Saccharomyces cerevisiae S288C: one gene and its partner. Changing the gene in region 1 together with any one later gene gives a genetic interaction. Each region holds a gene or a part of one and is shown on either strand. Other genes may lie near its edges.

Region 1 (7,163 bases):
TGGTGTTTTCAAAGAAACCCCATCTAGATGATATTAACTACCCATTCTCTATACACCGGGCATCAGTCAAGATAGTGACGATTTGCTGTATGTTAAGCTAAACTATGATTCTCCCTTGAGAAACCACTTGAAATGTTATCCGCAGCGGTTTATTTGAGAAGCATGGCCAGACAAATACAGAAGAAGGGTAGCAGTTAATCTAAACCTGATGCCCACAAAGCGTTTCAGTTCTCTAAACAACAGGAAACTGCGATTAATATTACTATTATTCATTTCTGCCTTTGTACTATGACCGATACACTCAACCGGCGAAAAGTGGAACTTGAGAATTGATGTCTTCATCTTATTATAGGTATTTTATGTCACGTACGGTTTTCAAAATTTGTCATGCGTATTCTTTTTTTACCACTGATTTATGCCATTATCTACTATGAGTAAAATTTTAAAAGGTACAGTGTGTATTCTGGTTGAATTTGCTGCGTACTTCTTACCTTTCGACTACCATTCCATTAAGCGGTGTCAAGATTATTTAAACCTTCGTCGCGAATCTCGATAGCGGCTTTCTGTGAAAGATATATTTCAAAAGTGAATGCAATTGCTACATTGACCAATGCAATGGCGATATCTAATATAATAAGTTGCAATAACATTTGAAAAACATTACCTTTTCGAAAAATCAACTGAACTAACCAAATTAAAACTGTCAAAACCGTATATGCAAGGAAAAATACCAACCATAACGCACATGTAAATTTCTTGGGGTGTCTTTTCTTAAAACTTAAAAGGTGATAGTTTATATTCGAGTACATTGGAGGTTGACCCATTTCTTGAGTTCTGTATGCTCTTTCCCCCCATATCAGAAACCATCCAATGGAAACAAACGCCGCATACATAAAAGTAACTATATCAGCTAAAATTGGCTTATCAGTAAATATTGAATGCTTATACAATATGTGCTCCGGAGTGAATGAGCTTTTTGTAATTGCAATAAAGAAAAGAACTCGGCAGAGCTTGTCATACTTCGATTCCGAACTTGAACCCCTAGCACTAGGGGATACATCGCTAATCCTTTCATTTGCATGAGCTGTCATACTACAACTTTTCAAAAGTATATGATACTACCAAGGGGAAAAAAAAAATAAATGGTGATCTGTATACTATACTTGATAGCAGTCTGCTTGTTGTTTAAGGAAGCGCCTTTATCTCCAATTTGTCTAGTGTTTCCAAATCAACGGTGAAAAAAATCTCGTATGAAGTCCAACACAGGCAGTGGAGTTTTCTCCAAAAGAAATTGTAAAAAACGTATACAGTATTCATTGTTGGTATATATGTTATGCGTTTTGTTGAAATGAAACTCTAAAATTGAGATGTGGGTGAATTTTTAGATAATTGTTGGGATTCCATTGTTGATAAAGGCTATAATATCATGTATACAGAGTATACTCGAAGCTCTCCTCGGCGGTATGGGAATCCTCAAAATAAAATCGAAATTTCTATATACCAATATTACGATTATTCCTCATTCCGTTTTATATGTTTGATTATCCTATTACATTATCAATCCTTGCACTTTAGCTTCCTCTAACTTCGATGGGCAGCTTCTCATAACTTATGTCATCATCTAACACCGTATATGATAATATATTGATTGTAGAGCATGTGGATTTTGATGTAATTGTTGGGATTCCATTGTGATTAAGGCTATAATATTAGGTATGTAGATATACTAGAAGTTCTCCTCGAGGATTTAGGAATCCATAAAAGGGAATCTGCAATTCTACACAATTCTATAAATATTATTATCATCATTTTATATGTTAATATTCATTGATCCTATTACATTATCAATCCTTGCGTTTCAGCTTCCACTAATTTAGATGACTATTTCTCATCATTTACGTCATCTTCTAACACCGTATATGATAATATACTAGTAACGTAAATACTAGTTAGTAGATGATAGTTGATTTTTATTCCAACATTGATAGTATAACTGAGAAATGGGTGAATGTTGAGATAATTGTTGGGATTCCATTGTTGATAAAGGCTATAATATTAGGTATACAGAATATACTAGAAGTTCTCCTCGAGGATATAGGAATCCTCAAAATGGAATCTATATTTCTACATACTAATATTACGATTATTCCTCATTCCGTTTTATATGTTTATATTCATTGATCCTATTACATTATCAATCCTTGCGTTTCAGCTTCCACTAATTTAGATGACTATTTCTCATCATTTGCGTCATCTTCTAACACCGTATATGATAATATACTAGTAATGTAAATACTAGTTAGTAGATGATAGTTGATTTCTATTCCAACATACCACCCATAATGTAATAGATCTAATGAATCCATTTGTTAGTTAATAGTTTAAATGTTTTTATCGGAAGAGGTTTTGTCATCACATCAGCAATGTTCTTCTTGGTCTCGATGTAGTATACGTATAAATTATTACCTGATACTTCATCTCTAAGTCTCATTGCCTTTGTGCCAAAAAATCTGTTTCTAAATTTCTCTTCATTTGTAGACTTAATTATACTGATCGTTGATCTACTATCAGTAAGTAAGCCTTTAATAATTGGTTTCTTGTTAAGTTCTTGTATCAGGTAACTTAGATTATTTAATAATGGGACAGATTCACTTATCGCGTGTATTTCTGCTTCCGTAGTTGAAGTACATGTTAATGAAGCCTTGGTGGACTTTCCTCCAATTACCTTTCCATTAAGTAAATATATGTTGCCAATTTGTGATTTATAATACGGTTGGTTGCCATACGAAGCATCACTTATTGCGACTAGTTTATTATCTGGCTCGGTAGGTTTGTTTTTGTGCCATATCAGTTGTTTATCTCTAGTGTCCCACATGAATTGTATCAACTCATATGTCATGTCTAAAACTTGCCTAGAGGGGAATAGTATATGTTGAGCAAGTGTGTTGATGTAGTATAGTAAGTCAAATCTAAATTTATATCCAACATATGAAGCTAGACCAATCAACTTTTGCATTTCATGTACCTTCTCTTTGTATTCATCTTCATCTATTTCTAGTTCATCCTGGTCTATATAAAGACCTGGTTGACCTGGAGCGCTAAGTTTTCTTCCTTTTGGATTCAAAGGTACGTTTAATTTGGGTATTTTCTCAGTTAATGAGTTTTCCATACCTAATTTCATGTATTTACCTCTTTGATATTTGATTTCTAAGCCAAGTATGTCGTACTGAATTTCGTTATCACTTTCACCCAGATTTATTATCTTTGTATCGTATTGTTTCTTGAGTGTTGTTATGATTTTCTTATTTGCATTTAAGTCTTTGCTGAATAAAATCATGTCGTCAACAAATAAACATATTGTTACTTGACTATTCTTAAATACGCATGACCATCCACGAACTTCTTCCATACCACACTGTTTTATCAGGTATGATTTGATAGTTTCGTACCAGTTCGCTCCACTTTGTTTCAATCCATAAAGTGATTTCTTCAAACGTATCAACTTATCATTCATTCCTAAATGTGGTGGAGGTCTTATGTATAATTCTTCTTTGATGTCTGCATACAAATATGCCGAAGATATGTCTAATTGTGTAATATAGTAGTTATTGTCTAATGCAAGTGACAGGGATGTCATTAATGCATAGTGATGTACGGTATTGGATTGCATGCCTGAGTCGTAAGTGTCAGGATGCTGAATATCACCTCTTGCAACAAATCTAGCTTTATGAGTACCGTCACGTTTCTTGTTGAAGATAAACATTGAGTTTATTACTCTTTTAGGGTCTATTTCTTTTCTGTCATAATATTCGTCAGTGTCCCAAGTTTTCATCTTCAACAGTTGATTGACTTCTTTGTGGTATGCCTCGATATATTTTTCTTTTTCTTTAATATCTTTATTATAGGTGATTGCCTCATCGTATCGTAAGGTTGTCCGTATTGGTTTGATTGATTTTACTGCTTTTACAGCTGCAATCAGGTGAATTCGTTTCTTCGATCTCGGAGGTTCTAAACTACGCATATTCTTAGTATTCCATGTGTCTCGTGATACCTTAATTTCAGTTTCATTATCTTCTAATGATCTTTTCTTACTGTTGATAGTAGTATAGGCATTAGAGTCACCAATACCACCCAAACTGGAATTAGTTTGACGAGAATTTATCGGTGGGAGTTCTTTAAATGGGTCAGGGAATTCGGTAGGAGATTCTGGAGGTAGATCAGGGAGTGGGAGATCAGCGATGATAGATTCCTCGGTATTCTGTTCAGAAACAGTAGTTGGCGTTTTGATAGGAACAATATTGTGCGATGAATTATTTTCCGGTGGAGAAGCATCGATTGAAGGTGAACGGTGTATAATCCTTTTCTCAGTCTCTTGGTCACTTATCTGCGGAACAGTTTTGTTGTTGGTACCACCCGTACTGGATATTGGTACGTTTGTATGATTAGTCTCATTTTCACTGTACGAGTCTGAGTGTCTGAAATCTTTAGATTTACTGGCGTGCGACGACTCATGTGTGTTAGATTGGGACATGGGAGCAAGTAAAGGAACATTTAATTTATGCATACCACCCGAACCGGTACTCTCGATATTGGAAATTTGGGGGGTGCTAGATCTCTTCTTTGATGGAAGAATATTAGATTCAGATATGTTGGGGTCAACTTCTCTGGGTGCGCGAATATTGGTTTTAGAAACACGTTTCGAATCTTCAGTATGAGTTGACGGAGGTGTGGAATCGGTTGGACTCACAGCTTTTGAAAGGACATTTCTCGGTTGCTCAGGATGTAGTTCAATGTCGGATTGGAAGTCATGGTCAGATTCTATGTTAAGATCATTGGATTCTTGGATCTCATTTGACGCAATGAACGAATGATATGAAGCAGTTAAACGGTTTAAGTCTTCATCGAAAGTGAGTGCGTCGTAATTGAATTGATCTAATCTGGATTCCTTGCCCTGAAGAATAACATAGTTAGTTGTATCTACTGTCTTCTTTAAGGATGGAAGATAGATGATATATCCATAAGAGTTTCGAGACGGATGTAGAGCGTAGCCTGGGATGCCACGAGGATGTATTTTGGAGTTAGGGTTGTGATCATTGACGATAACAGGTTGACCGAAAGGTAACAAAGTACTGATATCAAGTCCTGCCAAGCCAGCATGTTGTCTTGCAGATTTTTTGCTTTTAGGTGAAGCTAGTGAATTTCTCACAATAGTAGAAAATTCGATTGCAGAGAACCATAAATGGTTCGGTAAACCACTACATTGCAGTTGAGTACGGCAGTCATCTAATAAGGTACGGTTGAGCCGTTCAGCGACTCCATGTGCTCGGGAATCCGCTGTGGTTGTATAGCATGGAGTTATACCATTTTTTTCAAGGAATTTATGGAGAGTTCTGTTAGTATACTCAGAACCACGGTCCATTTGTATAACCAAGACACTGGCCTGAAACTGGTTCTTAATAAAAGCTAGTATCGTAGTAAAAACATCGAGGATAGAGTCCTCGCGACGGTCGTGTAATGGATAAACCCAACGGAATTTTGTTGTCTCATCAGTAAATGAGATGAAATAGGATGGTGCACTATTTGGTAGGTTGTGAACTGGACCAAATATGTCAGTATGTAGGTATTGAAAGGGTTCGTATGAATTTTGGTATTTTAGTCGTGAACCTTTGATATGTCTGTGTTTGGTGCTTTTGCCGATTAAACAATCAGGACATTGATAGTCAATAGCACTAGACCAGTCGACATCTGATTCGTTAAAATACGTGATGGTGTTATTTTTAAGTGAGTATCGAATTGTCTGTGCATTGGCATGCGCAAGCATTCGATGAATGAAAGGATAAGGATATTTGCGTGTACTTTCACTTGTATGGACATTATTGATGGTGGGTACGGAGATATTTGATGGAAGCAAGTACTTTTTAGATACCCAGTAAAAGTCTCCATATTTTACGATAGGTGCAAGTACAGTGCCGTCAGATCGTTCTAAGACGTTTTTGGTAAAGCATGCTGTGATATCTACTGCAGCCAATTCATTCAAACTGAGTAAGTCATAGGCTATGTTAGGAGTGTGCAATACCTTTATTGATGTTTTGGTGTTGTCCTGGAAGTGAAATTGTAGGTCACCAATAGCGTTAATTGGTATATTTCTTTTTTGAGCATCAACTACGTTTATGTCAGGATTAGATGATGCTGAGTGTATGTGATGAGCAGATCTTATAAGGGTTCGTGATGCTCCTGAATCGAGAAGGAGGTGTCCAGGGAGTTCATCATCAGAATGATTAGTGTGATTTACCGTAGATTCAGTAAGTTCCTGGCCTAAGGTGAAGGTCGTGCTTATTGTTCAATTGAATCGGTTCAGTAGTTGATTTACTGATGGAATCGTTGTCCGTGCTGGGAGAGTTATTAGATGTGGATACATTGTGAGCCCTGGCTGTTTTCGATTTCGAATTATTTGTTTTTTGAGGATTCCGAGCTATAACTTTGGGTTTGGTTGTATTCGTATAGCTGCGAGAATCATTCTTCTCATCACTCAGATTTCTCCTGTAATTAGGTTTGCTGTTTCTCGATCCCTGTTGTTCTTCATAAATAGCATGGATATCTAAGAACAGTTCAGCGACTGTCATATTTAGATGTCGATGACGTGTGTAGCGTAAAAATTTATATTCGCCAGATAGACCTCTCATAATTAATTGGCATGCGACCTTGTTATTGATATGAATGCCATTATTGTTCAGTCTGTCGATAATGTTTGTGACTTTTGTTTCAAATGCATCTGCAGGTGTACTGCCATTATATTGCAAATTTGCCAGGGTCACAATGTCGTTTGCCTCTTGGGTATCAGATTGCATTTTTTCAATACTTTTGGAAAGAATTTTCATGATATCCGTATAATCAACGGATAGGATGTCTTTGACCCAGGTAGGTAGGAATTGAGAGGGAGCAAATATTTGAAAAGTGTTATACAAGAAGGTGAGTTCATCATCAGTGATCTGACGTACGGGTTTTCCGTTTACTGTCGGAATAATACCACCGAGATTCGAGTTTTGTAAAAATTTGATGTATGTTTTAACCCAATTTGGAAAGTCATTAGGTGAGGTTAACATTGGTGGTGGTCTGACATATTTTTTAGTGGATGTCATATCAGAGTCCGCTGAGGATGAATC
Region 2 (6,649 bases), on another chromosome or scaffold:
TCATCTGGATTCTGTTATTTCCGTAGACGAAAAGGTCGGATTGTGTTGCTTCTCCCCATGCATTGAGCAAGTAGACAAAACATTGGATGTATTAGAGAAATATGGCTGGACGGATGTTGAAATGGTGGAAATTCAAGGTAGACAGTACGAAAGTCGAAGACAAATGGTCAGATCACTCAATGATGCCCTGGAAAGGTTGAGAGATATTAAGAGGCACAAACTCCAGGGTGTAGAAAGACGCAAGCGGATGTTTAACAATACAATAGATTCTAACGATGAAAAAGTTGGAAAAAGAAACGAGGATGGCGTACCATTAACAGAAAAGGCCAAATTTAATCCTTTTGGCAAAGGTTCTCGAATCAAGGAAGGTGATAGTAATTATAAATGGAAGGAGGTCACAAAGATGGAAGCTGAGATCAAATCCCATACCTCATATTTGACTTTTGCATTTAAAGTTGTGAATAGATCAAGAGATGATGAAAAAGTTAACGAAATTCTTCGATCCACGGAAAAATAATTAAATGATTAACTACTTATATACTTAAATTATATGTTTTTGAAATTTTTAATATGTAAAGCAAATCTGTACGAATAAAGGCTTTTTTCATATTTTATTTGCCTCAATGAAATAAATCGTCTCTTCTCTGGTTCCATAAGGGCATTTTGTTCCTTATTTCTTGCAAAAGCTCACGATCCAAATCAGCGAGAATTAGTTGTGGTCCAACAGTAGAGGGATCGGCATGCGCTATTATTTTACCCCAAGGATCAATGACCATTGAGTGTCCCCAAGATTCTCTCCTGGAGCTTTTTTCGAGAGCGCTCATATGTGATTGTTTCTCCCACTCTGGATCACTGAGATCGTGCATTCCAACCTGCCCTGGCATGAGCACATAGCATTGAGTGTCAACCGCTCTTGCTCTGCCTAGTAACTCCCAATGTGCTTCCCCTGTTTTAATAGTGAACGCACTGGGAAAACATAAGATTTCAGCCCCCATTGATCGTAATTTCAAAGAAAATTCGGGAAAGCGAATATCATAACAAATGGCACTGCCCAATTTTCCCAATGGAGACTCTATAATGTCAGGAATGGCTTTGCCAGGCTGGACAGATTTTGATTCTTTCAATATCGGTCCATTTGGCACGTCTACGTCAAACAAATGCAGTTTTTGGTATTCTTGCAATATTTTCCCTTCATGATCGATATATAATAGAACGTTTCTGACTCGATCATTGCCTTCAAGTAAATCTTGTTCTGAGGGCGGCAAGTGTACCCCAATGGAAACATCTATATTCCGTGAATTATCTCTGACAAGGTCGGTAATGCTTGACTGTAATTGCCGAATAAATTTGGGGCTTTTCTGTGCCAAATACCTGGAATGAAGAGGGTTTTGAGAAAGATAGTCACTTGCCTCAGGGAGAAAAACGACATCCGCCTTTTTTTGAATGGCTTCAGATATCAATTCTTTTACCACTTTTAAGTTTTTGGTCAGGTCAGCGGATGAACATAATTGTGCGACAGCAACCCGTTTTAATTTACTAGTCATTTGCGGTGTTATATTTTATGAAGGAGACTTCATGATGGGTATGAATTTTATTTCACCTCTATTCATTTACTTCTAATGGCCTAGAATCTAGTAAGCTCTGAAAATTCGAGATGCGGATCGTGAGCTAAAATAATAAAAAAATGAAAAATATAAAAGAGCAAAATTCATTACATTGGCGTTAGTTCACTGCTCGGGGGATGAGTAAAAAGTGTACCGATCAAGAACAACTCTAGACTTCCGCCAAAGTGATTATCAACAAAAATCGTAATAATTAGCTTCAATGCTAAATCAGCACACAAGTTCAGTACCGGATGACGAACATCTGCAGATGGCACACCAAAATAGCAGTTCAGAAGTGAGAAATGAGGCAGCGGTCCCAGATCAACTTTTGACTCCTTTACAACCGTATACCATTTTATTGAAAGATGGAGAAACAATAGCTACGATGTATCCTATACCTGCGTATCCTGATTTATTGCCGCTAGGGCTCTTAAATTTCCTTCTAGATGAATTTAACATGGAAGTGGAAAAGGGAGATAGTTTTCCTTATTACGAGACTTTATCACTAGAAGAATTCAAAAATGTCTGGTTTCATAATGATGGTCACGTTTGTATTATGGTGTTAGGCGAAATACCAGAACTGGATTATAGTATGGATACTGAAGCGGACACAAATGATAATTTTGGAACAGAAATAGAAACCACGAAGCACACCACCCAATATAAGAAACGAAAAGAACGTCGCAATTTAAATCTAAGTATGCAGTGGGAGAAGCAATGTCTAGGCATATTTGACCTCAAACCAGCATACCCTGGACGGTCAGCGCATGTGGTCACAGGAACATTTCTGGTCAATGCTGGTATTCGTGGAAAAGGTATTGGGAAAACACTAATGGAAACATTCATAGAATGGTCAAAGAAATTAGGATTTACGTCCTCCTTTTTCCCGTTAATTTACGGAACGAACGTAGGAATCAGAAGAATTTTGGAAGGATTGAACTTTAGGCGGATTGGAAAGCTGCCTGAAGCCGGGATTCTCAAGGGCTTTGATGTCCCAGTAGATTCTTTCATGTATGGTAAAGAGTTCACACATATTACGAAAAGTATAGATTTGTTACGAGATCCTCAAAAGAGTATCGAAATTGGGAAATATGAACGATTAAAGCATTTTCTGGAAACAGGCAAGTATCCTTTACATTGTGATAGAAACGAAAAGGCTAGATTAAGAGTACTTTCCAAAACTCATTCGGTATTGAATGGCAAGTTGATGACAAAAGGAAAAGAAATCATTTATGACACGGATCAACAAATCCAGATTGCATTAGAGATACATTTAATGGAACATTTAGGCATCAACAAGGTGACCTCCAAAATTGGTGAAAAATACCATTGGAGAGGAATCAAGAGTACTGTTTCGGAGGTAATCTCTCGGTGCCAAAAATGCAAGATGAGGTACAAAGACGGGACAGGGGTAATAATTGAACAAAAGAGAGCAGTTAAGCAGGCGCATATGCTACCGACGCAGCATATAGAAACTATCAACAATCCAAGAAAAAGCAAGAAGCATGATAATGCGTTATTGGGACAGGCAATAAATTTCCCTCAAAATATTATTTCCAGTACGCTGAATGATGTGGAGGGTGAACCCACTCCGCCAGACACTAATATCGTACAACCCACATTCCAGAACGCCACGAATAGTCCCGCAACAACAGCTGAAGCCAACGAAGCGAATAAAAGATCCGAGTTTCTTTCCTCAATACAGAGCACGCCACTATTGGACGACGAACAGTCAATGAATTCCTTCAATAGATTCGTGGAGGAAGAAAACTCAAGAAAAAGACGAAAATACTTGGATGTTGCCTCCAACGGAATTGTACCCCATTTAACGAATAACGAATCGCAGGATCACGCGAACCCCGTCAACCGTGATGAACGAGATATGAACCATTCAGTTCCCGATTTAGATAGAAATGACCATACTATAATGAACGATGCTATGTTGAGCCTCGAAGATAACGTCATGGCCGCTCTAGAAATGGTCCAAAAGGAACAACAACAGAAGATAAATCATCGAGGTGAAGATGTGACTGGCCAACAAATCGATTTGAACAACAGTGAAGGTAATGAGAATTCAGTCACTAAGATTGTTAACAACGAATCTAATACATTTACAGAGCACAATTCTAATATTTATTATTAAATTGCGACTCTGCCAGAGACGGTCACATCACCAACCCTAGAAACTATAAAGTTTGTACAGAAAAAAGGTACATTTAATGATGCGTCCACTTTTGGAACAGGGTTGACAAGTCTTAAATCTTATTTCAGAAGTGATTTTTGAAGTAAAATTGGAAACTGAAATTGGAAACAAGGCACTCAACTCAATTATGCTTGCATGACGAAAGGTTCTGTTACAGTTTTACGTTGAAACCTAGGTACTGCAGAAATCCATAATCGGAGATAAATAACTAAGCTTTGTGCTGCAAAATTTTCCAGATTAGGAAACCTGATCCTCAGTGCCCTTTTAAGTACTGCTGTATCTGATGCCGTGAACGAGACACTATTGGCTGCGTGGGCACGTACCAAGTATACTCATCAAAATTTGTCTTAGGTTTTCCGATGCGGAAAATGGCAGCGCACAATTTAAATAGAAAAGGAGTTAAATGTACAGCAGCAAAATCAGTCACTCACGGAGAAAAGCTACGGTAGCGTAACGAAGAGCACATTGCTACTAGCAGCCAGCTAGATAATTGCAGCAGTGTACAGTTTACGCGACAATAAAGAAAGCATGATTTTCTTTTTCAACCAGATCCGTTCAATATTTACAGCTTTGCATACGCCAACTCAACAGATCCAATTATCAAGAAGGGCCTTTTTCCAATTCTTAGGCTATTTGGGTAGTTGTGTTGTGATTTCATTAGCAGCTCAATCGAAATACGTGCAGTAAGAAATGAAATAATGACCTGCAACAGTCCTTCTTGAGATGGAATGAAGTAATTGCTCTTTGAACGAGAGCACAAAAGCAAGCAGAAGTCGCGTATGTCAAGCCCATGATATAGCTGCTTAGATATATAGGTAGATATAAATAAGCACAATGGCTACAGTAATTGTGCGGTGCAGGGAGGCAATGTTTAGTGCATCTCCTCTACATCATTTCTATTTTTAATCTCGTCCACGAGAACGATTTAAGGAAATGGGGCTTCAAAAATAAAAAAATCAAATGAAAGTAATAATCTTTCAGCTTAGACTTATTTTTAGTTGAAACACTTGAATAAGAGTGCAGACACTCAATCGTGGTGTAGCTACAAGAACATATGGTGGCGTGTTTCTGCTGCAACTGTCAAGATCGTCTGTGTCTTAATGAGGTGATATATAGAACTGCTGAATACGGAGCCGTTTGTCTTTTACTGCGGGATTAACTTCAACAGCTACGGCCGAAGCCAATTCTGGCAAAAGGCAATGACTAAGTCTTGTTTCTCATGTAGATTACTATTTTGAGCGTGTTGCTTTTCTGTTCCCCTTGAGCATAGCAGCAGGCACGGAAGCATACAGAATATTCACTAACATGAGAACAACTCATTACTAGACTACTACCAGTTACTACACATCGATACAACTCCCCAGAAATATCACTGTTGAGAGTTCATGTCAAGACGTAGTATAGTATTGCAACAGGAAAAAAAAATCTTATTGCGTAGCACTCTGTATCTATTTTATATATCTGTTTCTATATTTGATTAATCTCTTGTTATCTTGGTGATGATCGCACAAGTATGTACTCCTGTATCTGCAAGAATATCTGTTTTAAACTTTTCAAAGCAAGGAAACCCCGTCTTATATAGGTTATCCGCAAAGGTCACATTTTCTTGCAAATAGAAGAAAAAGCACCCACAAGCACACTAACACAGTGCCAGAGCAAAACTATATCCTTTGCATCCGATCTCAAACGCTGTTCTTATCGCATCTGTCTTCGTCCTTTCATCTGCATTTACCTTTTCTTTTTCATCCTCTATTTGCCTTTTCATTAGTGGCAATTTTTCCAGTTTTTTCCCTCTGCGTCCCGTTGCACCTGAAAGGATCTTTCTAACGTGTGTTGTCTACTAGTGAGCGATTTCGTGAGCCATACACGTTCTATAGAAAATTGAATAAACTTTACTTCAAAGGGATCTGGACACAGAGATAACTGCTTACCTGCTTGCCGGAAGAAAAGAATTACTAAAAAAGAAGACAAGGGTAGCTGCTATTGTGGGTACACGTTTCACAGAACTACTTTTTCCTTGTCCTTCTCCAGACATCAACGTCATACAACTAAAACTGATAAAGTACCCGTTTTTCCGTACATTTCTATAGATACATTATTATATTAAGCAGATCGAGACGTTAATTTCTCAAAGATGGAAGACAAGTTTGCTAACCTCAGTCTCCATGAGAAAACTGGTAAGTCATCTATCCAATTAAACGAGCAAACAGGCTCAGATAATGGCTCTGCTGTCAAGAGAACATCTTCGACGTCCTCGCACTACAATAACATCAACGCTGACCTTCATGCTCGTGTAAAAGCTTTTCAAGAACAACGTGCATTGAAAAGGTCTGCCAGCGTGGGCAGTAATCAAAGCGAGCAAGACAAAGGCAGTTCACAATCACCTAAACATATTCAGCAGATTGTTAATAAGCCATTGCCGCCTCTTCCCGTAGCAGGAAGTTCTAAGGTTTCACAAAGAATGAGTAGCCAAGTCGTGCAAGCGTCCTCCAAGAGCACTCTTAAGAACGTTCTGGACAATCAAGAAACACAAAACATTACCGACGTAAATATTAACATCGATACAACCAAAATTACCGCCACAACAATTGGTGTAAATACTGGCCTACCTGCTACTGACATTACGCCGTCAGTTTCTAATACTGCATCAGCAACACATAAGGCGCAATTGCTGAATCCTAACAGAAGGGCACCAAGAAGGCCGCTTTCTACCCAGCACCCTACAAGACCAAATGTTGCCCCGCATAAGGCCCCTGCTATAATCAACACACCAAAACAAAGTTTAAGTGCCCGTCGAGGGCTCAAATTACCACCAGGAGGAATGTCATTAAAAATGCCCACT

What was found.
Region 2: mutations in YPL257W (region 1) and MCO6 together harm fitness more than expected from each alone (negative genetic interaction), as found in Saccharomyces cerevisiae (one large-scale study listed by BioGRID).

Annotation. Positions count from the first base shown.
Region 1 is NC_001148.4:57,207-64,369, reverse strand, and holds YPL257W (uncharacterized protein), read right to left. Parts: upstream 1,092-7,163; coding exon 510-1,091; downstream 1-509. Other genes in the region: YPL257W-A (gag protein), read right to left, coding at 6,300-7,163.
Region 2 is NC_001142.9:179,396-186,044, reverse strand, and holds MCO6 (Mco6p), read left to right. Parts: upstream 1-4,335; coding exon 4,336-4,494; downstream 4,495-6,649. Other genes in the region: tRNA 1-methyladenosine methyltransferase subunit GCD14, read left to right, coding at 1-517; NIT2 (putative hydrolase), read right to left, coding at 621-1,544; SPT10 (Spt10p), read left to right, coding at 1,825-3,747; mitogen-activated protein kinase kinase PBS2, read left to right, coding at 5,942-6,649. UniProt on the Saccharomyces cerevisiae protein: Mediates the formation of endoplasmic reticulum (ER)-mitochondria encounter structure (ERMES) foci, thereby contributing to the formation of ER-mitochondrial contact sites.